7 linked regions of the Canis lupus familiaris genome follow. The protein of the gene in region 6 purifies or fractionates together with the protein of the main gene of each other region. This does not show direct contact. Links are inferred from orthologs where the notes say so. Each region holds a gene or a part of one and is shown on either strand. Other genes may lie near its edges. The genes, in order: ARID1A, BCL7C, SMARCD2, DPF2, SMARCB1, SS18 and ARID1B.

Region 1 (3,500 bases), on a different chromosome or scaffold from region 6:
TCACAGGTACCAGGTCAGTAGATACCACAACATACTGAGCTTCCTTTGTGGGTTTAGACTGGAAAGCTGGTGTTCCCAGCCTTTGAGGTGGATGAATAAGCATAAAAATACATGGAAAAGGAGGACCTGCCTGGCTAGAACAGAAAGATCATCTAATTGTAGGGTTTGGGAATGGTCTTGGTCAGTGCATCCTGAAGCTTAGGAATAGAGATTAGTGTAGGCTACTGGGAGGGCACAGAGAAGTTAGAGGGCCTGAAGCATCTCCTGGACAATCAGGACAGTGTCTCGTATAGGAAGGGGGCTTGTAGTTAGTTACATGTCACTGAGAAATAGAGCAGCTGTGGCACAGAATGTAAAATTGGCAAAGAGCCCCACACCAAGAAACAACCCAGATGTGGAAACCTCCAGTTTGACAAAGTAAGTCAAGCAGAGTGGTAGCTGATATTGCCACATCTCTGGAAAAGGTTGATTTTTATTGTTGCCTTTGAAGGGGTTTGCATCTGATGTTGATTTGCACAGCATTTTTCAGAACTATACTTGTAAAGCATCATACCTTCTGAATTCTGTTTTCTCCCACTAATAGTGATCTAAAATTTGTGCTCTTTCAAATAAGCACTGTCTGCTAGCTTGCTAGTTGCGGTGGTCTATGGATAGAACCTGCTGAGGGTAGAGGGGAGCTAGCCTTGGATTTAACGTTTGTTGTGGACTATGCCTCAAGGGGGGTTAACTTTAGTGGTTAATTGAGAACTGCGATTCTATAAAACATGAGTACCTGGTATCCTGGTGGGGGTTTGGGGCTTATTGGCAGGAAGACCAGGTGGAAGATGTACCTCGACTCTTCTGGTTGGTTGTACAGGTCAACAAGAACAAAAAATGGCGGGAACTTGCGACCAACCTCAATGTGGGCACCTCGAGCAGTGCTGCCAGCTCCTTGAAAAAGCAGTACATCCAGTGTCTCTATGCCTTTGAGTGCAAGATTGAACGGGGAGAAGACCCTCCCCCAGACATCTTTGCAGCTTCTGATTCCAAGAAGTCCCAGCCCAAGATCCAGCCTCCCTCTCCTGGTAAGGATCGGGTGAGCCGCCCCACTAAGGCTCACCCTTCGCAAGTAGCATTCAAGGGTCCGGGTTCTTATTCAACAGTGCCTGACTCCAAGGACGTGTGCTTTGCCCAGCACTACCTCAGGGCTTACTATGTTGGCACACTAGGAGCGGGCAGTGGCGACTCCCTTGAGAGGTAGTCTGCAGCAGCCCTTAAGTTTTAATTTTCATTGTGCACCTGGCAACTTGCCAAATGTTTGTAAACTAGTGAGTGGGAGGGACATCAGAGGAGTGGGGAAATCTGACAAATCGCAATGAGGCAGGGCCATCTGGGAGCTTTGGCCCACGGATGTCAGCGCCTTAGAATGCAGCTCAGACTGGAGCCCTAAATTCCCCAGGGAGCTGAGATGCTAATGAATGGGAAGGAGGGAGAGGGGGATATGAATGGAACTCGATGGGAGTGCCTCTGCCCACCCTCCTTTCTGAGAGGAGGCTGGGGCCAGGGCAAGCATGGGGAGGGAGGAAGGCCAGGGCTCCTAGAAGGTGGGTGTAAACACATGTGCCCTGCTATTGACCTCTGAGGATGTAATGAGTGCCTGAGATGACTCATCAGCTGGGGAGGCCTAAGCAGTGGGATATCTGCTGCTGGGAATGGTAACTAATGGAAACATTAATTACTGGTAGTTCTGCTCTCATCAGCTTGGAGGCATATTGGAACCTGAGTGGTGATACAGTGCTAGATACTTGTGAGTAGGAGCTCCTAGGTTCCTCAAGTACACTGCAGGTTTGGGACAAGATGGAGCCTTCCTACTTAGGATTCCAGGGGCTCTTACTGGGAACTTGTGTGCCAGCATTATAGGGTTTAGTAGGTTAGACAGGGGTCCTTGGGGAAATAAAGAAAAAAGTAGTCAGGGAAACTGGCAGGAACTCAACAAAATCACTAGCATGGTGATGCCATCACCACACTACTCCTATTCTCCCAAATGTGAAACAGTAGCAAGGAGCAATAGAAATCTCAGATTCCCCAGAGCACCTGGGTGGCTTAGTCAGTTAAGCATCTGTTCGACTTTTGGTCTCAGTTGAGGTCTTGATCTCAGGGTCATGAGTTCAAGCCCCATGTCAGAAGAAGAACCACCCTCAGATTCTCTTCTTATTACCTGGCCTTACACATCCCTTGCTGAGAAGGGTGATTTAGGCTTTCAAGAACCCCAGCTTTAGCCTTACAACAATCCTTTCCAGAGATGGCAGGGCATTTGTGTATTTCTGTGAGAGTTAAACATTTGCCAGCTCACCCCATATCTCTGTCCACAGCGGGATCTGGGTCTATGCAGGGGCCACAGACACCTCAGTCAACCAGCAGTTCCATGGCAGAAGGAGGAGACCTGAAGCCACCAACTCCAGCATCCACACCACACAGTCAGATCCCCCCCTTGCCAGGCATGAGGTAAGGCCAGGAACAGAGGCAGGTGACTTGGAGGATCTGGGCAGAAGTGCATGAGTTCTTGTGCAGCCCAGGGTGGTCCCTGCTCTGCCTGCTCAGCCAGTGACTCTCATGTGCCCTGCCTACAGGAGGAATTCCTTTATTTGGGGTTTAATTGGCTTTCTTCACTCTGGAGCAGGAGCAATTCGGTTGGGATCCAGGATGCCTTTCCTGATGGAAGTGACCCCACATTCCAGAAGCGGAATTCCATGACTCCAAACCCTGGGTACCAGCCCAGTATGAATACCTCTGACATGATGGGGCGCATGTCCTACGAGCCAAATAAGGATCCTTATGGCAGCATGAGGAAAGGTAACCAGTTGCTGTTAGCCTTGTGCCCTTGAGGACAGGGCCAGGGAAATGGGGAGGATATGTTGAGAGTGATTCAGGGTTCCTGTAAAGCCATTCTCTGAGATAAGGCCTTTCCAGTCCTAACCACCACTCTTAATCCCTACCTCTTGTCTCCCTCTCACTGGCTTCACCTTGCACACCTAAACCAGTACGTGCTCTTTGCTGGTGGTAGTCTCTTTAGATCTCTTTTGAACCTGTTGGGGAAACAGTAGGATCAAACCCGAGCCCTGAAGAGGGCCTGGTGTTCGGGGCAGGCAAGGTGTAGTTTGCTAGGCCTCCTGGCTTACCAGTTTGCTCACTGCCTTCCTTTCTGCGTTCAGCTCCAGGGAGCGATCCCTTCATGTCCTCAGGGCAGGGCCCCAATGGCGGAATGGGAGACCCCTACAGCCGTGCTGCTGGCCCTGGGCTGGGAAATGTGGCAATGGGACCGCGACAGCACTATCCCTATGGAGGTCCTTATGACAGAGTGAGGTGAGCATGGCCCCTGCACGTGTCCCACCCCAGCACCCCACAGCAAGAGTGAACTCAATCCACTTCTCCATTTGTGTTTAGGACGGAGCCTGGAATAGGACCCGAGGGAAACATGGGCACTGGAGCTCCACAGCCGAATCTCATGCCTTCCAACCCAG
Region 2 (4,008 bases), on a different chromosome or scaffold from region 6:
TAAATGTACTGGTGGTGGTGGGGGGATCAGCACCAGATTCAGATTAAGAAACTGAATGTGACCAGTCCAAGAGCTCCCTTTTGGCCTCTCCCAAGAGTGACCACTATCCTGAGTTCTCACACCACAAATTAGTTTTGTTTTGAATTTCATATAAAAGGAATCATATAATGCGTACTGTTGTATCTGATTTCTTTCATGAGACTTGTCCCTGTTGTCTGTGTAGCAGGATATCACTCTCTGCTGTGTCCACTGTGTGAACAGGCTACAATTCATTTTCCACTCTACTCCTGATGGGCTGTTTCCAATTTGAGGCCGTGCTCTACGGTGCTATGAAGATTCCAGTACACATCACTTGGTGCTCACACCTACGCATTTCTCTCAGCTTCTCTAGAAAACTGCCAGTTTGGGTGGCCCCGGTGGTGCAGCTGTTTAGCGCCGCCTGCAGTCTAGGGCGTGATCCTGAAGACCCTAGATCGAGTCCCACGTCAGGCTCTCTGCATGGTGCCTGCTTGTCTCTCTGCCCCTCTCTCTTTCTCTCTGTGTCTCTGTGAATGAATAAATAAATAATTAAAAAAAAAAACCTGCCCGTTTTCCAAAGCATCTCTATCCATTTTCACTACCCCAGGAACATGAGAGGTCTGGTTGCTCTACTCCTTTGTCTACACTTGATATGGTCTGTCGTTCTCATTTTAGCCATTCTGGTGGGTGGAGACCTACTCATATTTGCAGCATCTGGCCAGAAATGGGCACTCTGAATAGACTGCTGAATGAATGGCTGAGGAAGAGCTGGACAGGGCGGGAGCGACAGCCAGGGGAGGCTGGACACACGCTCTGCACGCAGCACGAGGGCCACCCCCGCGCCACAGACGCTCGCCGTGAGAGTGACCCTCTCGCGCCCCCTCCTCCTCCCCGCGCCCACGTGGTCTGAACGCACCTCCCCGGCCCGGCGGCGCGCGCCCTGGCGCCAAGCTGTCCCCAACCCTCCCTCTTGGCGGCGGGTAGGGGGCGCTGCGCGTCGGGGCGCCCCGAGGGGGCGGGCCCGGTCGGGGCGGGGCCGGCCGGCTTCCAGGCCTGGGCTTTGGCCGCCCGCACCGCCGGGCCGCTCCGGGGACGGGCCGGGGCGGGGCGCGGCAGCAGGAAACGGGGCGGGGACTCGCGGAGGCGTTGGGGAGCGAGGGAGGGCGCGGCCAACTCCCGGAGGGACGGCAGGCCGAGAGAGCGGCGCCCGGGTCTGGCCCGAGCCTGAGCCCGCCGGACGGGAGGCGGCCCAGCCGCGGGCTCGGCCTCGGCCCCAGTCCCGCCAGCATGGCCGGCCGGACCGTGCGGGCCGAGACCCGGAGCCGGGCCAAAGATGACATCAAGAAGGTGATGGCGACCATCGAGAAGGTCCGGAGATGGTGAGCGCTGCCCGGGGGCCAGGGATGGGACCCGGCGGGACCACTCCTCCCCCAAATGCGTCTAACCTCCCCTTCGCCGGCCGTGGCCGCAGGGTGTTAGGTGTGCCCCCCGGAGCTACAGGGCTCTGTCCCCCTTCTGGCTACACCCTAGGGTCTACAAAGCGTGTTCCCAAGCCGTACCCTCATTTATGCCCCGCCCCCTTAAGCTTTGACACTCCTCCCTCAAGTATGTCCAGGATCTTCATTGCTATGGTCCCCAGCCAGGCCCTCAGCCTTGCTCCCTTGTATACCCCAGGGGTCTGCAGAGCCATGGCCCCAAACCGTGCTCTCTCCTTAGAGGCACCCCTGTTTATGGCCTGGGGTCTGCAGGACTCTCTTTCTCCTTCTAACCATATGCCCCATTAGCGAAACCGCAGCACCCCCAAGTCTACAGGTCTCCCCAGATGTGTTCAGCTCCTGGGGGGGGCTCTCTCCTCAGAATTCTGACCCAGTCCCCCCCTCCCACAGGGAGAAGCGCTGGGTGACTGTGGGCGACACTTCCCTTCGTATCTTCAAGTGGGTGCCAGTGGTGGACCCCCAGGAGGAGGTGAGCAAACTCCCCCACTGTGCACCCTCAGGCAAGCCCCTTCCAATCCCAGCCTCCACCTCCAGTCCTGCTCTGAGACCTCAAATGCAGCAGCCAAGACAGATGTTAACAATTATTAGCAACTCCACCCCCTTCTCCCTTTTTCCTGCTTCAGACCCCTGAGTTCAAGCCCTAATCCACTGTGCCAGCCTCCTGTAGGGCCTTTTGCTGCTCTGTGCCTCAGTCTCCTTATTTGGACAGTGGGGGCTTTGCAAGCACTAACTGGAAAGCCGGAGCTGACCCTTATCCCTCTAACCCCCAGGAACGACGGAGGGCAGGTGGCGGGACAGAGAGATCCCGAGGCCGGGAGCGGCGGGGCAGGGGCACCAGTCCCCGAGGGGGTGGTCCCCTCATCCTGCTGGATCTCAATGGTATGTAGGGATCCTGGGATTTGGGGGGGTGTTGTGGGATGGGGAATTGAGGGAGCAGATTGGGGCTCTCAGGCCCAATGCTCTCGGCTTTTGCTCCCACAGATGAAAACAGTAACCAGAGTTTCCATTCGGAAGGCTCCCTGCAAAAGGGCACCGAGCCCAGCCCTGGGGGTACCCCCCAGCCCAGCCGCCCTGTGTCACCTGCTGGACCACCAGAAGGGGTCCCAGAGGATGCTCAGCCCCCACGGCTGGGCCAAGAGAGAGGTAGGACCAGGTGCCTCCCTGCAGCCCTCTCTTCTGAGTTGGCTGGTGGCTGAGTTGGAGCCATCAGCTTACCCCTACCTACACCTGCTCCCCTCCTTGTTATCCCCTTCCAGAGGCCTTCCCTGACTCCTGCAGAAAGTCACCATCCTACCTCCAGTAGCTAACTGTCTCATTCATCCGGCTTCTTTGGGTCTTTTTTTTTTTTCCCTTTGGGTCTTTATGTAATTAATCACTGTCTGAGATTTTCATGTAAATTTTATTTTTTACTACTCAAATTTCTTCCCCCACTCCCACCTCATGTTGGCTTCCTGAACTTTGGGCCCATGTTGCTCCTGTCCATTACTAGATCCTCAGAACAATGTGGGACACATAGAATGTACTCAATAAATATTTGTTAAGGAATGAATAATAGTGATATTCCTGAGGGTGATTAATAAGTGATAATGATAGCTAAGACTTATTGAGCTCTGTGTGCCAGATACCATTCTAAGCACTGAACATGTTTGATTTCATTTAATCCTCACTATAACCCTATGAAAGTTATAATCCCCACATGTGGATGAGAAGCTGAAACCCAGAGAAGTCTCCTAAGCTCACATGGCCAATGAGCCAGCATCTTGGGCATAATTTTGCCTTAGCTCCTCTTTCTTCCATATAGTCAATCCCCTGTCTGGTCGGAACCACCTTGCAAATGTGTCTCCCTTCCTATAAGAGCCATCTCTTACCTGTGCCTGGCTCCAGCCTCCTTGTGGGTCTCCTCTTCCCTAGTCACCTCTACACAGCTGCCAGAGCAACTTTTTCTAAAGCATAGATATGGCAGGCTCATTTTCCTGCTTCAAAGCCTTCAATGGCTCCTATGGCCTTTGACTCCTCCACTTGGCACTCACGGCCCTTCGTGAACTATCCCTGTTGGTCTCATTGTTCCTTTCCAGGAATACCATGACTTGGGCCTATGGGCCTATGGGCTGTGTCTAGATTGTACCGTGCACTTGGGTACCTTTACTAATACAAAAACAACAGGCATTTATTGAGCGCTTTCTATGTGCTAGACACTGTACTGAGGGCTTTACCTGTATTATCTCATTGCATCCTCACAACAGTCTCATGTGGTAATTACTATCATTATCCCCACTTTGCAGGTGGGGAAACTAAGTCCAGAGGAATTAAGTCACTTGCCCAAGGTCAGGATTTGAACCGGAGGAATCCAACCTCAGAATCTGTCCTCACAAACATATAGTCTGTCTGCCTAAAATGTGCTCCATCTCCACATTTGTCTACCCGATCAGATCCTACTCACCCATCAAGATCCCACTTAAATGTCCTTGCTGTGTCTTCCTCTGGCCAATAGCAA
Region 3 (4,247 bases), on a different chromosome or scaffold from region 6:
TTAATTTAAATAAATAAATAAAAGAAATGCAGAAGCTTGAGCCTTACCCCAAACCCCAGGCATACTGAATCATAATCTGCATTTTAAACCAAAGCCCCAGATGTTTCTTTCTTTTTTTTTTTTTTTTTTTTAAGATTTTATTTATTCATGAGAGAGAGAAAGAGACAGAGACACAGGCAGAGGGAGAAGCAGGCTCCATGCAGGGAGCCCGAATGGGACTCGATCCCAGAACTCCAGGATCATGCCCTGGGCTGAAGGCAGCGCTAAACCACTGAGCCACCCGGGCTGCCCAAAAGCCCCAGATGTTTCTTGTGCTTATTAAAGTTTAAGAAGCACTGGCCTGTATCAGGGGGAGGAAACCCCAGATGACCAGCATGTAGGCTAACACAGCTGAAGGGCTTTATTTTGAATACCTTATGACACAGGATAGTGGTTTCTGAAAAGGTATTGAATTTTTTTTCCAATTAAGTACTATAAATCCTGGAGAAAGACCTTATTTAACTGCAGGGAGTTTTCTCACAAGGCAAAATTCCTCCCCCTAGAAACATTTCCTGTGGAGTAAAGTACTAGGCTTCCTTAAAGTGAGGCAGAGCCACGTTAAAAATATGCGATAAGAGCTCGGCGCAGGGCCAAGTCAGCCCGTCACACAGCTGGACTGGGTCTGGGGCAGCTGACGTCCCTTGGCAGCTCTGAGCCAGCAGGATGGGCTATTAAACAAAGTGAAGCTGGTGGCTCTTCTGCCTCAGGAAACAGCTCTAAGCTGAATTTTTACTGCCTAAAACATAGAAAAGCGACTTAAGTCAACTATTTTCAGGGAGTGTAACTGGGAACCTCGGGGGGCGGGCTCCACGGGGCAGAGATCAGCAACTCCCCACGCATTCTCTGTTGAAGCCCTTAGGTGACCTTCAACCTCTGACCCCGCGCCTTGCACAGCGCTTCCTGCGCAGCTTTCCGCCTCCGCCCCTCCGGTCAAGGGCGGGCCTGAGGCGTGGGGGCGTGGCTGGGGGGGGCGGCTGGCGGTTAGGGGCGGTGCTTGCTGGGGGCGGGTCTCGCGAGGGGCGGGATTTGAGCGGCACCGTGGCATTGGACTGCAGGTTCTAGGCGGGGCCTAGCGCCGGGCTTGTTTGGGCGGGGCTGGGAGTTAGTTGCCGCCTCCGGGTAACTGGACTCCGGCGGCCAAACCTCCGGAGGCCGCGAGCGTCAGGCGGGCGTGCAGCAGATCCCGGATCCGGAATTGCCCGGGCAGGACCGGAATCAGGATCGGCCCTGCCCCAAACCGGGTCTGCGAGGAGGAACTTGAGAACTTGGATTGGGAAATCCCGGAACCCGGATCAACAAGCCCCAGAACCCGGAATTTAGATCGGGAAGTCCCGGAGCACGGATCGCGGAGCGGACTCGACACGGAGCCCGGAGCCCGGATCGCGACACCGCCGGACGGGACGGAGCGATGTCGGGCCGTGGCGCGGGCGGGTTCCCGCTGCCTCCGCTGAGTCCTGGTGGCGGCGCCGTTGCCGCGGCCCTGGGAGCGCCGCCTCCGCCCGCGGGACCCGGCATGCTGCCGGGACCGGCGCTCAGGGGGCCAGGGCCGGCTGGCGGCGTGGGGGGCCCCGGGGCCGCCGCCTTCCGCCCCATGGGCCCCGCGGGCCCCGCGGCGCAGTACCAGGTGAGCAGCGCGGCCGGGCGGGCGGGTGGCGCCGCGAGGTCGCCCGGGGCGATGGGGCGATGGGGGCTGGAGTCGGGGCCGCGGGGCAGCCCCCGGGCGGGGCACGGGGGCCCGGCGTGCGGAGTGCGCGGGACGGGGTGCAGGGCAAGGCCGGGCGGCGGGGCAGCTCGGGGAGAGGGTCAGAGCGAGCCTGGGCTGGAGGGTTGGGGGCGGTTGGGAGGGTCTGGAGGTTTTCTTGGAACGGGGATTCTGAGTGAGAGGTGGAGGAACCGGAGCCCGGGAGCTGTGGGCGAGCGGACCGAGAAGTCTAGTGTAGGTCCTAGGGAAGGGGGCTCGGGGAAGTGCTGGGAAAGTTTTGCAAAAGGGCCCTCACGGAGAAACCAGGGTTACCCTGCCTTGGCCTTGGTCCCACTCCAAGTCTGCGCTGGGCTTTTTTTTTTTTTTTTTTTTCTTCTAGTTGGGAACTGGCAGAGTTCTAGCGTGTCTGAGATGGCTCCCAGCTGCTGATGGGGAGGAAGAAGGGCCTGGCTCCCCGCGGCCCGGGAGGTGGAGAACGGAGCAAGGGGACCCCAGCCTGTGCCGGGCAGGGTCTGCTCCAGGTCAGGCCCAGGAGCCCTCCCGTGGGGTGGCTCCGGGTTCGACCAGAGCTGGTGGTGGCCAGGCCTGAGGCAGGCGGAAAGCCCAGCCCGTTCTGGGCCGACTCTCCTTTTGGCTTTCTGCCTGGTGTCCTAGTGTCCAGGAGTTGGTTAGTGTGCAGGAGCAGAGAGGCTCCACTGAGCCCTGCTGGTCTGGGGCTGGAGGAGCCTGTCTGTGAGAGTTGCTTCAAAGAGTTCTGTCCTGACCCCTTTGGAGTTTGGCTTCCAAGAGAGCGCGTCTCAGGTTGCAGCTTCAAAGGCCGAGGAGAGGTAGAGACTCCATCCTTAGGGCCTGACCCTGCTGGTGGGGCTCATCAGTACCCCCCTCTCCAGTCCATTGTTTCTGGTTGCCCCAGAATGCTTGGGAATTGTGCCCATCCTTTTTTGCACTCTCTCTGCACTCTTATTTAGCCTTTAGGTTCTAGCAATGTCATATCCCAACCAACCCGTGTGCCCCAGCGTTTGGCACTGGCTTCTTTGCTAATCTCCCAAGGAAGCTGGGGTTGACTCTCTGGTCTCCAGGTAGAGGCTCCACAAATGGATCCTCATAGGATAGGATATGCTTATCTCCCTCGCCGCCCCCCTCAGAGCCCTGGGCCCTTACTTTCTAAAGAGACGCCTAACTGGGGACCCTGATTTTTCCCACTTACTCTTCATCCCCCCTCCTCTCTGTAAAGAAAACAAAATATCTGGGTACTGACAGAGATAATGCCAGTGACTCCCATCTTTCCCATCTTGCTTTCCCACTTGGGGATTCATGGGTCCAAGCTGATGCTGAGGGGTCTCGACATGAGTCATTACAGCCCCTGGGCCGGCTAGCTGAGCACAGGCCTTGGAGTCTCTCTGGGCCTTTGGTCTAAGAAGAGATAGGAGCCTCTCCAGTTGCCTTTGTTCAAAAGCTGTGAGCAGTGTGGCCTGGGGAAAGCCCTTGGATAATGGGTTCCACAGCCCTATGTAGGGAGTGGCCTTGGGCCAGTGGCAAGGTCCAGCTGACTGGCTGGGGAGCCCCAGGCTGCTAGGGTTGGGGACCAAAGGGTAGGCACTGAGCTTCTGCTTCTGCAAGCTTCCTGTCCCACCAGCTTTTCATAACCTCTTCCTCCTCCTCCAGGAAGGGACAGTAGAGGATCCAAGGGGAGAGGGAAGACCCAGTTCACCCTGGCTAAGTTCGAGTAAGATTCTGCTTGGCCTCTTTCTAAGTCCAGTTGTGTGACTTCCAGGAGATGGGACTTCAGAGGAGCAAAGGGGGTCCTGTCTGTTAGGGTACATGAAGTGAGCTAGAAGAGCAAGGCTTTCCAGGCCAAGTGGGGTAAGTTAGGGAACCTATGGAAAGAGGGGAAGTGATGACCCACCTCCCTCCACACAGTGGATCTAGCTGTGGATCATACTCGACAGAAGAGCTTAAGGAAAACAAGAAATGGGGCAGTTTGGGTGGCTCAGTGGTTTAGTGCCGCCTTCAGCCCAGTGCCTGATCCTGGGGACCCAAGATCGAGTCCCATGTCGGGCTCCCGGCAAGGAGCCTGCTTCTCCCTCTGCCTGTGTCTCTGCCTCTCATGAATAAATAAATAAAATCTTAAAAAAAAAAAAAAAAAAAAAAAGAAAGACAAAACAAAACCCAAAGAAACCCAGATTGTTGGGTTCACTCCAGAGTTCAAAATATTTTCTGCTTATGGAGGGGTATGTTCCCTTCTCTTAGGCCTGGGCCACCAGGGGCGCCAGGGCCACAGGCTTTGAGGCAGGGTGCTGCGTGCTCTCTGGAGGTGCAGCATTAGGCCCAGCCACGTGCCCTGCTGTCCTGGGCAGTGGAGGTAGAGTCACACTTAGGACATGGGCTGCTGCCGGGCAAGGGAGAGGACATTGTCACACACTTCCTAGCTTGAGCTTTACTGCAGGCAGGGACTTACAGAGCCTTGAGTGGCCTGACTGGGATTTGTTTTGGGGTGTTTTGTTTT
Region 4 (4,248 bases), on a different chromosome or scaffold from region 6:
ACATGAGGGAGACCCCTAGCATGAGAAGCTGGGCAGAGTGAGTCTCTGTTGCTTATGTCCGTAATTCAAGATACACCGACAAACCACGCTCTGGAATCCGAGGGGGGCTTCTCAGAGCAGTCACAATATAGTACTTAGGCACAGCTTAGTATGTTCCCAAGCAACTGAAAAAGACATACATCACACACAAGGCGATGCCTGGCTTGATTCAATGAGCAGTAATGCCTGTAATTTGAGGTAAGCATGAATTTTGTGTTGGAGAGTGAAGAGAAGGGAACAGGCTCACATTAGCTGGCCTTTAGGAGGCAGCCATGTCCTCACCACACAGAGGAAAATTGGATAAACAGGCCGAGTGCAGCAGCTCCTTTGTTTCTGCTGATGGGAATGGATACTGACACTGGAAGTCAAATGGAAGGACGGAGAGACAGGCTGAGGGCTGCAAAGTCACAGCATGGAGGCCAGAATTGGTTTTTTTTGGGGAACAATGAGAGATGTTCTATCAAAGCACTTGTGAGTTAAGTGGGATTTCAGAAGGTGGTTCAAACTGTCTTGTGAGTAAGAGAACTGGGAATGAAATGCCTAAGTTGGGGGGGGAGAGAGAATCTGATGAGGAGAAACTAAGAGAGAGTGAGAGAATTCATAAATAAGAAAATTCTCTCAGAACAAGATGCAAGCCAGAGAAGATGAGCTAGTAGTGCTGACCTCAATGTATAACCTCAGCTGTTCAAAAAACAAGCATACCACGATCAAGAGAAGCTCCAGAAAAGTATCTCTCTCCTGGGTGAGAATAGTACAGGAAGACTGGAAACCCCTTCTCAAAGGGCAAGTTTTGTAAGGAAATGTATTAATTGCGGTCCATAGTCCTCTGCAGCTAGAACTGAGGAGAAAGTTGGTTTCTCGTTACTAGTACTCAGGAACTAGTGGCTGGTGCCCCTCACAATCTCTGTAGTCCCTTTAATAGAAGTAAGTCATGCTCTGTTGAAATGGGCAACTCCTCCCTTCTAGTACTACATGAAAGGGTTGACAACTCTATTCCCCTGAAGAAAGTCTTCCAACATAAAGTCCCATTACCCGTGAACTCGCAAAACCTAGGCAAGTCTTACATTCCCCCAGTACAGTAAATTTCCAAGGTAGGAGCTCTGATTCTTTTCTGGGAAGCATGAAAACTGTGTAAAACCTCCCTTTACAATGGGATTGGGGTGGAGGGTAATCAACAAAGAGAAACGCAGGGAAACAAAGAACAGGAGTCAGGAAGGATAACTATATAAATGGTAGATCAACAGCGACATTTCTAAATTGAGGGAAATGTCAGCCTGAAGAAAGAGCTGGGGGAAACTGGAGTGGGCAGATCAGAGAGAAAGATAATAGTGTTGGGAGGAGGGGTAGCTGAAAAGAGGCCGCAGGATGGAGCTGAAAGCAAGTTAAAAAAAAAAAAAAAAAAAAACCCACAGGAGGAGAAGAAGGCACTTAGCTTAATGGAAGTGGGAATGCATTCTCAAAGAAAAGGCTCCAGGCGGGGAGGGGTGGGGGTGGGGGGATGTGGGCAAAGCAACGTACTCTCCATAAAGACTCTTGGGAAGAGTGGGGGCTCAGCCCACCACAAAGGCAGCTGAGAAGCTGAGTCCCTCAGAATAGTTCCAAATCTTTACCTTGTCATCCAGTCAAAATCCACAAGCCCTGCCTGGACAACTAGTCACCTCTCAATTTTCCCACCTCTGCACCAAGCCCAATTCACCCATTAAACAGAGTTCGCTCTATTCGTCCACCAGGTACGAACCCATTTCGATCTTCTTCAGGGAGGAGGCTGGGTTAAATCAAGTCCCAAAGCATTTTTAACTCACGGCCAACAGACCACACTCCATTTCCCCAACAACCATGAACTTTAACTTTGCTCGCAGCCTGCCCAGCAGCAGGGGACTGACTGCACAGCGCGCAGCACGCCGACCTAGATGCCCCTCTAGGCTGCAGAGGCGTCCTGGACCGCTTCCGTCCACTTCCCGTTTTTCGGTGGCTGGACTGGCCGGCGCAAAGGCCCTCAAGTTCTTTCCTTGCTGCATCCGCACCTCAACAAATTCTTCCCAATAATGTTTTTGGTCTCGGGTATCAGATACTCAAGACCCCCACCCCCCACCCCCGGACGTCACAGGGCTGTTAAAACAGCCCCGCCATGCTTAACCACGCAAGGGCTGCTGAGCCTGTTGCTCCAGGAACTGCTGCGGGCAGCGGGGCGGGAAGGGGGGGCGCCTGGCTTCGCGGGGACGCGGGTGGGTCCCGGGGCCGCCCTCGGCCCGGCCCGGCCCCTCCGCACCGAGGCGTCTGGTCTCGGGAGCGCACTCAGACCGTGTTTCTCGTCTGCAACGTGGGCGCCATACTCAGGACACCGCGAGCCCGAAGGAGCGCTCAGCCCGCACAGCCCCGCAGGGAGGCTGCCCGTAAGGGGCTCCCGTGTGCCCCCCTCAGGGCCTCCACAAGTTTCCAAAGAAGCGCAACGTCTTCCTGTGAGTCTCCTGTTGCCCTCCCTACTAGGAGTCGCAACAAGGCTTTCTCGGGCACGTCCTTCCCTCCGCCTAGTCCCCTGCCGCGCCGCCCCCTACTCCCAGGCCCATTACAAGACCTCCTGGCCTAGGAGAGAAAGAAACCACTACTCACAGCTTCACTACATTTTCTACCACAGCCGCCATCTTCCCTGCTCCTCTCCCTCAGGCCGGGAGGCCCGGAGCCCTCAGCGCGCAGGCGCAGGGACCGCACCGGGGAACCGGTTTCCTCGTTCCTCTGCGCAGGCGCCGCCCGAGCACGCGCGCCCGAGAGCAGCTTCGTGACTGTCCACAGGGGCGGGGGAGCCCAGGGAGCCCAACGCGCAGGCGCGACGGGCACGGGGGCGGGGAGCCCGGGGTCTTCCACCGTGAGGACCGGACCGGGGAGGGAGCGTCTGGGCTGGTACAGAAAGGAGAGGATTGATGAAATGATGACATGAAGCTGGTGAAAACTGGAGGCCCAGAGTTAGGCTAGATGGAGCCTATGCGTACTGCTGCCTCACCGACCTTTAACCTTGTGGTTAACCCTTTGTCCTCACTCACGGGCGCGGGGAGGGGGCTGTTGGTGGACAGCAGAAGACGGTGCACCATCCGCTTGGGCCTCCAGTCGTGTGCCCGTTCAGGGAGAGGAAGATTAACGTCCCGAACTGAGCAGTTCTTTGGCATGAGTATTGGAGTCTTGGCAAAAATTGCCTCCCCTTCCTCCCACAAAACCCTGCCACCAACTTCAGTGCTACCCACCTCCCTTGCTTCCTACTTCTGTCCCTCCAATTAGGCTCTAAGAACTTCCCTCCTGCAATTATCCCTGAATCTTTCGTACCATTCATTTCTCCTTCACCGTTGAATCGCAAATTCGTGTACAAACATGGCTTAACATCTTTAAAAATCAGAGCCCCTGTAAAAATAAAAAAAAATAAAAATAATAAAATAAAATAAAAATCAGAGCCCTGGGCAGCCCCGGTGGCTCAGCGGTTTAGCGCTGCCTTCAGCCCAGGGCCTGATCCTGGAGACCCGGGGTTGAGTCCCACGTCAGGCACCCTGCATGGAGCCTGCTTCTCCGGCCTGTGTCTCTGCCTCTCTCTCTCTCCCTCTCTCTGTGTCTCTCATGAATAAATAAATAATAAATAAATAATACAACAAAAATTACAAATTTAAAAAATAAAAATCAGAGAGCCCTTCCTGCAGCCCATGGTGGCCTTGGATTATCGTCCCATTTTTTCCATCCTTTCAAGGCAAAGTTTCTGTTTATACTCCGTATCTCTGCTGACTTATTTCCAAGGCCCCTTCTGCCCAGTTTAATGATTTTGTTCCTACTGGTTCGTTGAAACACAGACACCATGACACCACTGACCATTCCCTCCTTTTTCCTTTTTAAAGATTTATTTATTTAAGAAAGAGAGCGTGTGAAAGGAGGGGGTGAGAAGAAGAGGGAGAGGGATATGCTGAGCAAGGAGCCCGATGGGGGTGGGGGTGCTTGATCCCATGACTCTGAGATCATGACCTAAGCCAACATCAAGAGTCCAGCGTTCAACCCACATTCCCCCCACATTCCCTCCTTTTTCAAGCTCTTTTCAGGGTCTCTGAGACCAGCATTCTCTTAGATGTGCTCTAAGCACACTGAAGTTCCTTTACCTCTTTTGTTAAGTCTGTCCTTTGTTCCACTTGTAAATGTCACAGTCCTCAGGCCATGGTCTTTGCCATATACCTCATTCCA
Region 5 (3,500 bases), on a different chromosome or scaffold from region 6:
TTGTTAAATTTTTTATTTTATTATTATTATTTTTTAAAGATTTTATTTATTTTTATAATTTTTTTTTTTTTACGATTTTATGTATTTATTCATGAGAAACAGAGAGAGAGAGAGGCAGAGACACAAGCAGAGGGAGAAGCAGGCTCCATGCAGGGAGCCCAACATGGGACTCGATCCCGGATCTCCAGGATCATGCCCTGGGCTGAAGGCAGCGCTAAACCGCTGAGCCACCCAGGCTGCCCTTATTATTATTTCTTTTAACGTGGATCTTGAACTTGTGACCCAAGATCAAGAGTTACATGCTCTCTATGGGATGCCTGGGTGGCTCAGTGGTTGAACCTCTGCCTTTGGCTCAGGGTGTGATCCCGGAGTTCCAGGACTGAGTTCCAATTCGGGTCCCCTGCATGGAGCCTGCTTCTCCCTCTGCCTGTGTCTCTCTCTCTGTGTCTCCCATAAATAAATAAATAAAATCTTAAAAAAAAAAAAGTTGCATGCTCTCCTGACTGAGCCAGCCAGGTGCCCCAGTGGTTATTTCTTTTGAGAGAATCTGTTTTTCTTAACCCATTTTAGTTTCATATTCTGGCCAACCAGCAGACAAAGGGTATGACTGAGAAAGAAGGGGAACTTCATAGGAAAGAAAAGGGGCAGTGGGACCCTCACCTGCATTCTCACGTGTAGCCTGTCACCTCTGAAGGATTGCCCCGAGGACTCGGTTCTCTGCCTTGTCTTTGTCCTGTAACTGCGGCCTCACGGATCAGCTGCCCCCAACAACATGCTTCCAAATGGGTGGGCTTGGCCATGACCAGGGTCCTGCTGAGTCTAACCAGCTGGCTTCCTGATACTTTTTTCAGAATTTTTTTTTTGGTTTTGTTTTTGTTTTAAGTCCTGATAGGGCTTGTGGGCTTGTGCGTTTCCTGCCCGGCTCTAACGCGAGGGCTTCATGGCACTAAGGCTGGACACGGCCCAGAGAAGCTCTGCTGCTGTGTTTATCAGGTCAGAGCCCTCATGGGCTTATGGCCGCGGGGACAGTGCCCACCTTGTAGGCACTGGAAACTGAAGGTCACACCAAGGTTTGGGTCAAGGGAACTCAAGGAGAGCTGGGTCCTTCCTTGAGGATATTCTTTGTTCTCTGGCTCCTGGGACATAGTGGAGGACAGGGATCTTTGCTGTGGTGGCACCTGAGGAGTGTCTTCACAAAGTGGTGCCTTAGCATGGAACAACCACTTAAAACAGATTTTTTTGGGGGGACTCTGGGACCATAGCCCAGACCTGGCTGCCTTTACCAGGGCACTTAGCACTGGTTGGCTGTGTTTCGTTTCAGGGGCTTGGGGGGTTCAGTGCTTCTCACAAGTCAAGCAATCAGGCTCTTCATAGCTGACCGGGCCCTGCCTGTGCAGGTGTATGTGGTGATAAGGGGTGGTAGTTGAGGAGGGGGTGGAGTCTGGCCCCAGTGCAGTACACCCCCTCAGGGGTCCTGGCCCTGCCCCATCTCTGGGCCCACTCAGAGTCCAGCTCCTCAGCGCCCCCCGAATCCCCACTGTTTCTTGGCTCCCTCCAGCAGAGGTCTCAGTGGCAGCTAGTGTCTCTTCTCTGCTCAGAACACTCCACAGACCTCCCAGATCCCTTTGTGGAAATTGGAGCCCTTAGGACAGCCTCAGGCCTAACTCTGCCCAGGACCCTTCTCTCTAAGGAGCTGCATGTCCTGCTGTCTGCCCATTTTGTTCTTCCTAAAATGCTGTCTCCCTGAGGAGGCAATCTTGGGCCTCCTGGCTAACATGGCCTCCTGTGTGCTTTCCAGCTGTCCCCTCATTTTCCCTTTAGGCCCTGGCCACATAGGCCATGTACCTCCCATTCACATATTTGACATGCTTGGGTGTCTCTCCCCCAACTGGAATGTCAACCCACGAAGATGGCTTTTTGTCGGAGAGACTCACGTTGTGTTCCCTGTGCCTCTCTTGATAGGCCCACACTCTGTAATTTTTAATAGATGCAAGCATTCTTGACCCAATTAATGGAGGGGACAGACAGCCCAGGCCACATGGCGCCGCCTGGTGGCGGAGAGGACTGCTGCTCTTGTACCCGGGGCAGGGCTTGCTGGGGCTGGCTGTGAACAACTATACTTGTCGGTCCTGTTGGGTCCCGCTTGATGTTTTTCTGTGGGCTGCCTGCTGCTTGACATCTCCTTGGTCCCAGCATGCCCTCAGGGCTCATGAGCCTTGGTTTCCTGCAAGAAGGGGCAGCTCTTCCGTTCTGCAAACTGTCATTGGTCACCCAGTGTGAGCAGAACACGGAAATGGGAAAGGACAGGGGCCTCATTTACAGCGAGTGAAAAGTGGTGTGTAGGGTCCAGAGGTTCAGAGCTTCATGAACGGGGACAGGGAGTGAGATCCCACGCTTTCCTGAAGGCAGCGGGAAGGATCCACCCTGCATGGAGTGGGCCCTGAGCAGTGGCCACCTTGAGCATTGTCTTCAAAACCTGAGCACACAGCAATAGTAGGTGAAAGGGCCGGTGCACTGTGGCCTGTTCACTTGGGGAGCAGTGAGGGGTGGTCCCAGCCTTGTAGCCATTGGCGGAGCCTCGTGGACACAGTGCCCGGTGAACACAGCCAGACAGACCCTGGAGTGTCCTTCCTGTGTGACTCATTGACGCCCAGTTGCAGAGCAGTCCTGCTCATCTGCTGGATGAGGAGTAAAGATGGTGGTTCTGAATGCAGGTGTCATGGGGAGCTCCTGGGGCGCAGGCTATGTTCCATTGTGGTCTGGGTGCTGCACAGGCAAGGCCTGGACTGGCTGCAGGTTGCACGTCAGCAGAATGTCTGCTGGAAGTGTGGTAGGCGGGCCGGCCGTGGGCCTCTGCTGCCCACCCAGGCTTCACCTGCACCCTTGTGGGCTATTCACGTGGGACAATCACACCTACTAGGAAGATAGGTGACTGTGCCAGGTCTTAAGCCAGAGCCTGTTGTGGCAATCCCAGCAGGCGTTGGTGTCATCTGTTGTTCTGGATGGGGACCTGTGGCCAGAAGGACGAAAGGTAGCCCCGGTCTCAGCTAGTGAGTGGTGGGCAGGGTCCAGGCTGGCCTGGCAGCTCCCCCGCTGGACTGTCTCGCCTCCCGGAGGCCTCCGAGGTTGGCATGGTTCTGTCCCTTCTCACTTGTGTTCTTCGGTTCTTGCCCCAGCTGAACATCCACGTGGGGAACATTTCGCTGGTGGACCAGTTTGAGTGGGACATGTCAGAGAAGGAGAACTCACCCGAGAAATTTGCCCTGAAGCTGTGCTCAGAGCTGGGGCTGGGTGGGGAGTTCGTCACCACCATTGCATACAGCATCCGGGGCCAGCTGAGCTGGCATCAGAAGACCTACGCCTTCAGGTAGGAGACCAGCTGAGCCCCTCCCTCGTTCTTCTCTAATCCCATTTTGGGGAAAAGACAGCTCCCTGTGCGTGGTGATGCCTTTGGTCTCTTTGGAGCCTCGGCCAGCTCAGCGGCCCTTTGTGGGCTCACT
Region 6 (3,500 bases):
ATCTATTTTTTTCTGGGAAAAAGGTTAATATCCTAAAATTTGATAACAAAAGCTCACTAATACATAGCAGAAGATAATATTTTAGTTTTGAGAAGTTACTGAATATAAGATGAGAAACAAACCCTATTTTGTTCCAAACTACTCTAATACCAGAAAGAAAATTTTCTACTAGTTTGAACCTCTTTTTAAGGAGTTAGTATTTGTTCTTTTAAGTTGATCTTGTTAGATACTGCATGTATGGTCATAACAGTTTTTGTGAAATGTGGTTGTATGATGTTGCTGTGTGTTTGTGTATCTGTGTGTGTAATTAAGAATAGTTAAAAAGTATCTCAAATGCCAGTGCATGGGAGGGGAGTCTACAGGTGAGAAGTAATTTCTCTTAATAACAGATTAGAGAACAAATTATTTACCTCTTGACTGGTTGTGGTTTTTCAGGCCCACCACAGCAGTACTCAGGCCAGGAAGACTATTATGGGGACCAATACAGTCATGGTGGACAAGGTCCTCCAGAAGGCATGAACCAGCAATATTACCCTGATGGTAATCTCTCCTAATGTTAATTTTCCTGTTGTCTATCTGTGCCCAATATTAATGTAGATAGCTGTTCAAGACATTTTAATGAGGATGAAGAAACTCACAATATGTTTCTTCTAAATTTAGAAACACTTTTTAAAGCATCAGTGGTCGCATTAGTTTATAATCCATTTCAAAGTATATTTGGTTTAGATAGTCTGTATTAGTACCATCAGGAATTATTCTGTCACTGGAATCCTTTCTTACATAAAAGAGGATCCTCTTAGTTTGGAATTGTTAATTTGAACCAAAGCAGTTGTTACTGATACACTTTTTTTAAATAAACACTTTATTGAGATAATTCACATACTGTAAAGTTCACCCATTGGTTTACTTTTATGCATGGTATAAATACACAGAAGATCTAGTTCTTGAGTATTTTTCCAAGTTTCATCATTTTTAGTTAACATTGAGTACTTCTCAAAGAACTGTGGTTTGTGTATATTATCATTCGTATCTGAAAAATTTGGAGGTTAAATTATATGATATAGCTGTGTTTAAAGTTGAGAGAATAGGAAAAGCATTTGGAAATCAGATTTTAATTATTTAGTTTAATGAGTTTTGTGGGAAGGTGGTATATGAAAAAGTTGGTCATTAAAGATATATTGCACTTGGAAGTGATGCAAGCATAAATAGGCTTTCACTATACAGTTCTTCCAGTTTTTCTGTGTGTTTGAAAATTTCATGATACTTTGTTGAGGAAAAAATAATCCAAACATATAAAACTGTGATAAATTACAGGTGGCTATTCACATTACAGTATGATTTGTTTTGTTATGAAAGGATTTGTCAAAATCTTCATTTATCCAGTAAGCTCCCTTGGTATATTTAAGGTAAACTACTTAACAGAGAAACTTGGAGAAACAAAAAATTAAAAGCTAAAGTGTTGGGACTATCCTCTCAAAGCTAATGTGAAGTAGTAAGAAGATATAATTTGGTGAATTTAAAAAATATTTTAGCCTGCCATTTTTTGTTAATGTATAAAGGATAAAGGTATATCAGTATAAAGACAGTGGTTTTTTACTGCAGAGACTCTGCCTGTATAGGCAGAGCAAACACTCATCTGTAGAATTTTGTTTATCATAAATGTTTGTTATGATAGTGGTGATATGTATGGATGTTTCTTGTTAAGAAATGATATATTTTTTTAAATCTCAGGTTTTCTTGCCCTGAATTAATTCAGAATTTTGGAGTTTTTTTTCTTTTTTCTTTCATATATAGACATTAAGATTTTTTTTAACGAAAAAATTTAGTATGTTTATAGACTATGGATATTTTAAAGAAGTGAAATCTAGTTTGTCAAATTTTATGTATTAGGAACTCTGAAAGTAAATGATTGTTTTGTTTAATTTTTAAAATACATTTTACATAATTGAGTTGAATTTGACACTGTTTTGGTCTTGAGTATTTTTCTGAAATGTAAAATGTGTATTGTTATAAATACGACCTTTCTATTCAAAATAGATGTTATTTTTGTTAGACATCAAAACTTTAAGGTTATGTAAATTATTTATTACATGAGGGGATTTAAAAATCTATCATTTTTGTATAGGTGTGTATTAATATGTTTTTCTGATATGTATGTAGAATATCCCATGTATAACAATAATTTGCTTAAATAGCCTTGAATATTTTCTTACTATCATTCAGATATTTATGCCAATAAATATATAGATTAGGAGTTGGCAAACTTTTTTCACTAAAGAGCCAGAGAGTAAATATTTTAGTTCTTTGCAGGCCATATCAACTACTGAATCCTTTCTGTAGCATGAAAACAGGTAGAGAAAATGCGAATGGGCATACCTGTGTTCCAGTAAAACTTTATTTACAAAAGCAGGGCCCTGGCCATATTTATGCTGCAGGCCATAGTTTGCCAACCCTTCATGTGGCTATTTATGAGGTGGTTTGGGAACGTTGAAATCCTAGAACACTGAATATAACATTGATTCATAACTGTATTGCTCTTCTTAATTAGGCATTCTTCTAAAATTTAGATTTTAGCTAACTGAAGCATTATTTCCTGCATTTTCTTGGTGTGTAACTTTAGTTAAAAGAAGTAGACTATTGATTTTCATTAAAGTCCAGTCATAAAATTTATTGAGCCTTAAAACTTAAGGTGTACCCTGGCACTAAACACAGTATTAATTTTTTGAAGGTGTGTTTATGGTACTCTAGAAATATTTTCTAAAGGCGTCTAGAATGGCAGCATTAAGCAATATTATTCTTGCATCTGAAAATGCTTTTATAAGATACATATACGTTATGCTAGTAAATAGAATGTGAAAAATTTGTTTCAGTTTCTTTCAGGGGAAAAAAACTTATGGAGCTTTTTTATACTTTGCATTGTTTTAGCATATGCTGTGGAATTGGCGACCAGCAGAACAGGTGTTTGACAAAATATGATAATTGCTTCCTTTGTTCATTCTAATTTAATTCAAGTTATTTACATGTGAAAGGCCTAAATGCTTTCTTTCTCTTTTTTGAAAAAAATTGAAGATGAAGTTTTTTTTCCCCCCCATGTTGAGGATTATCAGTTAAGACTAAGTGTAATGTTTCTAAAACTACTGTTTTTTGCTTTTAAAAAATTTGCACGTTATATCTCAATATGAAAACAATCACATTGGTAAATATTTGGCTAATGCATTTGAAATTATTTTTTATGTATTTCCATTTCTTTTTCTTTTTTTCAATTTTATCTGAAAGTTTAAATATATTTAGGGTTTTCACTCAGTGGCCATTAACGTTTCTTCCTGTCTCTTGTCGAATTGATGTAGGTCATAATGATTACGGTTATCAGCAACCGTCGTATCCTGAACAAGGCTACGATAGGCCTTATGAGGATTCCTCACAACATTACTACGAAGGAGGTATCTATATACCTTCACACACATACACATATATATCCCCTTCTACAGGAATGCAAATTT
Region 7 (3,500 bases), on a different chromosome or scaffold from region 6:
ATGGAGCTACTGCGAACTTTCCCCAAGGCTGGGAATTTAGTAGGTTGAAGAGCTGGGACTCAGATATGTCTCGAATGGGTAAGTGAATTGGTTGTGGGATGGCAGAGGGAAGAATGCCCTCTGGACCAAGCCTGAGCAAAGGTCTCCCTGCACTTACCTTTTCTCATTCCACCAAAGGGGTCTTTGTTGGGTTCATAGGGCATCCTTCCCATCACATCAGGCATGCTCATGCCCTGCTGGTATGGGGTGCTTGGAGTCATGGAGTTCCGTTTTGGGAATGATGAATCACTGGCATCTGAGAATGGGTCGTGCACACTGACTGTACTGCTTCTAAGGAGACAAGAAAAATGAAAGCTTCGTGAAATAGCAGGAGATGCCTCCAAATGCTTGTTCAGAAAATAGGCCTAACTTGAAAATGTTTAATGTAAAAACCATCCCCTAAAATTACATGAATAAAACTAGTAGTATTCAACATTAAGGACACACACTTCTTCTTTACAGACAAATCTGATGTCATGTGGCTCACAGAGATCCTTTTGCATACCTTCCACCTTGCATCGGGGTCATCTGTCCGTGAGGGGTGGAGGCTGGGGTCGGTGGCTTCAGGTCACCTGGAACCTCTGCCATTGAGTTACTGCCAGTTGACTGGGGGGTCTGTGGACCTTGCAAGGATCCTGAGTTAGCTGACAGTAGTAGTACCAAGAGAAAATAAGAAAAAAAAAAAGAAGTTATCAAGTAAGCTCATCCTTCCTACTAATTTAAAAAAAAAAAGGAAAGACAACACGACACCATCTTATTAGAATTAGAAATAGTAACAATATCCATTACTGGTAACGACACAGTAAAATTAGTTGCTTTTATATTGTTTATAGTGAAAATTAGTAAAAGTTGTTTGTTTTGTTTTGTTTTTAGTAATCTATTTGGCAACATACTTCATTTGTGAGCCATAAAACATATTTATACCTCTTGACTGGGTAATTGCTTTCCTGGGTATTTATCTCAAGAAAATAATCTAATATAAAAGAAGGCTTTAGGCAGAAAAAAATGTTTATTTCAGTGTTGTTTATAATGGAGATAATCTAAATGTCTGAGAGTAAGGAAAAAAAATGGGATGAAAAATTCGGTATACTGATTTGATGGACTATTGTGCTATTTTAGGAAAAAAGTTAGAAAAATTACTACCAGGTCTTAGGCAATGAGAAATGTTTAAGTTGAAATGCAATGATACAAATTTTTAATGAGCCTTATATCACTTCAATGCCTCCTCAATGTCTGTGCTATGTCATTAATAAAGTCATTTTTAGAGCTCTGGAATCAGATTTGTTATTACAAAACCAAAGTCATGCTCTTTGGAGTTCTTTAATGTCATCATCAGAGTCCTGAGATTTGGCTTTAACTATAATTACACTATAATAACAGAGCTCAGTATTGAGCAAATCTTTTTAAAAACTTAAGTACTCACCTCATTGGAAAACATAGTATTTTAAGGGTTCCCGCTTTATCACTGACCTTTGCATGTGAGGTGCCCGAAAGACACTACCTACATTTATTAATTCAACAAATACTTATTGAATAAATAACATGCTTACTACATTGCTTACTATATTGCTTTTTTTCTATTCCTGGATGCACCAGTGTCCCAAACTGACAAAAAGGACAAAAATTCCTGCCCTCATGCAGTTTATAATAAATGCTTTCAGAACTGTTACAAATGGCAGAAATTACTGGCTGCTTGTCAAAGATGATACTGTATATGTTATTATCTGGAGTCCCTTTCCTAGGAGTGTCCGACACTCACTACAATTACCAGTAGCCACATTTAACTGTAGAGGAAATGGGGTTCAACAAATCACTGGAGATTACAGAGCGTGCTGGGAAGGAGCCCGAGGTGGAAATTAGTCCAGCTCTTCCAGTCAGAAAGCCTCAGCGGAACACAGAGGTCTCCAGTGAGATCAGGTCAGCCCTGGGCCTGGCCTGCTTGGGAGTGAATCTTGAGCCCTGGCCACCAGGGCCCTGCCTCCTGTGTAAGGTGTACGCTGGGTGCCCGGGACTAGAGTGACTCAGGGCAGCTCTCAGAGATGCCGGGAAGACTAGCTTGAAAAGTAGATCATCTTTTTAATGTAGATATCGCCAAAGAAAAGCTTAGTAACACATGCTTATAAATCAGATTTTGGTGAAACCCTACATATCAAATAAATAGATCGTAATAAGAGAAAAAAAAGTGGAGTCTTCTATAAATATGTAAGGATAAACCTACAAATGTGACTGCCCCACAGAGCTGGCAGGAGAAATAACGTGCTCCTTAAATCACAGACCACACTCCACAGCAGCCTGTGCGGCTTCCCTGGAAACATGGTTCACAGGCTGTGATTTCAGAATGACCCTTATTTACAAGTATTCACATTTACAGCTAATAAAAAAAAAAAAAAAAAAAAGGAAAAATTCTTCCCTCTGCCAGTATTTTTTCCTCTCCTTTCAGGAAAAAAAAAATGAACACAACCTCTTGAAGCTCCATTAATAGACGAGGCTGGCACACTCTGTAGGCTCTCCCTACCTTTTGCCAGAAGCTACAAATGTATACTCGAAAGTAAACAATGGAAAGGTTATTGAAGGTTAAGTACATTCACACACTTCAGACTGTACAGCCAGACTCCTAGCTGGGAAGATAATTTACACAGCACGAACCTGGTGCCCTAGTTCTGGCTGGGGTTTCGGGAAGGAGGGCAGGGAGAAGGAAGGAGAGCTGATATGTCCCAGGTCTACAGTGACTGGAGGTCACCCAGAGGGCACCTTTGTTTATAACCTGAACCTCTTTCTCATTTATCTTCCACTGAGGATTCCCTAGTTGGATCCATGACAGGTTTTGTGACATCACCTGTCAGCTAATAATAGAAATGCAGTCAGCCACCTGCCAGCAAAGATGGATGGGTTTTTGGTTACAGACTTACTAATTGAATGTGGAGCTTCCTCGGCCCCCCTTTACCCCGCCCCCACCCCACCCCAGCTTCCAGGCCTCCTAGGCCACTTGGGGAGGTGATTTCTGCAGCTGTTCATTAGAACTCCATGAACTTTTACAGGCTTATTATAACGAGATCCCCACTGGCACCTCAGAAATGCAACTGTACCCCAGGCCTTGCCCACGTTTCATCTGGGAGCTTCCCTCAATGGACTCGCCCAAGTCACTGGAAGACAGTAACATGGAGCTCTGGCTTGAGAAACCACACAGTCCCTACGGTGAAGATCACGGGCCGAGGGGTTCTACCTCCCAGAGGCTGGCGGAAAGGAAGTTCAGTCCACACTGGCCACACCAGATCGAAACCGGAATACAGATGGATGACACACAACGCTAGTGTAGCCAAATGAGCTGGGAATTCAGGTGGCTTCAGAGTGGCCATTTAGAAAGCAATCTAGTACTTTTCTTAGGAATCTTTTTAGTTTGGATGTGTTGATAAGAAATACACTATAATTACCTTCTTAGGGGGAGAATGGACTCTAAGAAC

The links.
Region 1: the proteins of SS18 (region 6) and ARID1A purify together in Homo sapiens (affinity purification with mass spectrometry; 7 studies listed by BioGRID and IntAct, counting the BioPlex papers as one, with this or other methods). This does not show direct contact. The link is inferred for Canis lupus familiaris from reciprocal best matches to the Homo sapiens genes SS18 and ARID1A.
Region 2: the proteins of SS18 (region 6) and BCL7C purify together in Homo sapiens (affinity purification with mass spectrometry; 3 studies listed by BioGRID and IntAct, counting the BioPlex papers as one, with this or other methods). This does not show direct contact. The link is inferred for Canis lupus familiaris from reciprocal best matches to the Homo sapiens genes SS18 and BCL7C.
Region 3: the proteins of SS18 (region 6) and SMARCD2 purify together in Homo sapiens (affinity purification with mass spectrometry; 4 studies listed by BioGRID and IntAct, counting the BioPlex papers as one, with this or other methods). This does not show direct contact. The link is inferred for Canis lupus familiaris from reciprocal best matches to the Homo sapiens genes SS18 and SMARCD2.
Region 4: the proteins of SS18 (region 6) and DPF2 purify together in Homo sapiens (affinity purification with mass spectrometry; 4 studies listed by BioGRID and IntAct, counting the BioPlex papers as one, with this or other methods). This does not show direct contact. The link is inferred for Canis lupus familiaris from reciprocal best matches to the Homo sapiens genes SS18 and DPF2.
Region 5: the proteins of SS18 (region 6) and SMARCB1 purify together in Homo sapiens (affinity purification with mass spectrometry; 9 studies listed by BioGRID and IntAct, counting the BioPlex papers as one, with this or other methods). This does not show direct contact. The link is inferred for Canis lupus familiaris from reciprocal best matches to the Homo sapiens genes SS18 and SMARCB1.
Region 7: the proteins of SS18 (region 6) and ARID1B purify together in Homo sapiens (affinity purification with mass spectrometry; 4 studies listed by BioGRID and IntAct, counting the BioPlex papers as one, with this or other methods). This does not show direct contact. The link is inferred for Canis lupus familiaris from reciprocal best matches to the Homo sapiens genes SS18 and ARID1B.

What each region holds. Positions count from the first base shown.
Region 1 is NC_049223.1:72,735,666-72,739,165, reverse strand, and holds part of ARID1A (AT-rich interactive domain-containing protein 1A), read left to right. Parts: intron 1-856; coding exon 857-1,064; intron 1,065-2,351; coding exon 2,352-2,484; intron 2,485-2,656; coding exon 2,657-2,832; intron 2,833-3,191; coding exon 3,192-3,342; intron 3,343-3,423; coding exon 3,424-3,500. UniProt on the Homo sapiens protein: Involved in transcriptional activation and repression of select genes by chromatin remodeling (alteration of DNA-nucleosome topology).
Region 2 is NC_049227.1:17,466,859-17,470,866, forward strand, and holds the start of BCL7C (B-cell CLL/lymphoma 7 protein family member C), read left to right. Parts: upstream 1-1,208; 5' UTR 1,209-1,305; coding exon 1,306-1,397; intron 1,398-1,904; coding exon 1,905-1,983; intron 1,984-2,284; coding exon 2,285-2,393; intron 2,394-2,495; coding exon 2,496-2,657; intron 2,658-3,954; exon of another isoform or gene 3,955-4,008. UniProt on the Homo sapiens protein: May play an anti-apoptotic role.
Region 3 is NC_049230.1:15,127,763-15,132,009, forward strand, and holds the start of SMARCD2 (SWI/SNF-related matrix-associated actin-dependent regulator of chromatin subfamily D member 2), read left to right. Parts: upstream 1-1,447; coding exon 1,448-1,663; intron 1,664-4,120; exon of another isoform or gene 4,121-4,247. UniProt on the Homo sapiens protein: Involved in transcriptional activation and repression of select genes by chromatin remodeling (alteration of DNA-nucleosome topology).
Region 4 is NC_049239.1:52,349,216-52,353,463, forward strand, and holds the start of DPF2 (zinc finger protein ubi-d4), read right to left. Parts: upstream 2,801-4,248; 5' UTR 2,682-2,800; coding exon 2,650-2,681; intron 1-2,649. UniProt on the Homo sapiens protein: Plays an active role in transcriptional regulation by binding modified histones H3 and H4. Is a negative regulator of myeloid differentiation of hematopoietic progenitor cells. Might also have a role in the development and maturation of lymphoid cells.
Region 5 is NC_049247.1:28,793,369-28,796,868, reverse strand, and holds part of SMARCB1 (SWI/SNF-related matrix-associated actin-dependent regulator of chromatin subfamily B member 1), read left to right. Parts: intron 1-3,176; coding exon 3,177-3,367; intron 3,368-3,500.
Region 6 is NC_049228.1:62,584,523-62,588,022, forward strand, and holds part of SS18 (protein SSXT), read left to right. Parts: intron 1-435; coding exon 436-540; intron 541-3,347; coding exon 3,348-3,440; intron 3,441-3,500. UniProt on the Homo sapiens protein: Appears to function synergistically with RBM14 as a transcriptional coactivator. Isoform 1 and isoform 2 function in nuclear receptor coactivation. Isoform 1 and isoform 2 function in general transcriptional coactivation.
Region 7 is NC_049222.1:47,265,147-47,268,646, reverse strand, and holds part of ARID1B (AT-rich interactive domain-containing protein 1B), read right to left. Parts: intron 684-3,500; coding exon 545-683; intron 331-544; coding exon 158-330; intron 1-157. UniProt on the Homo sapiens protein: Involved in transcriptional activation and repression of select genes by chromatin remodeling (alteration of DNA-nucleosome topology).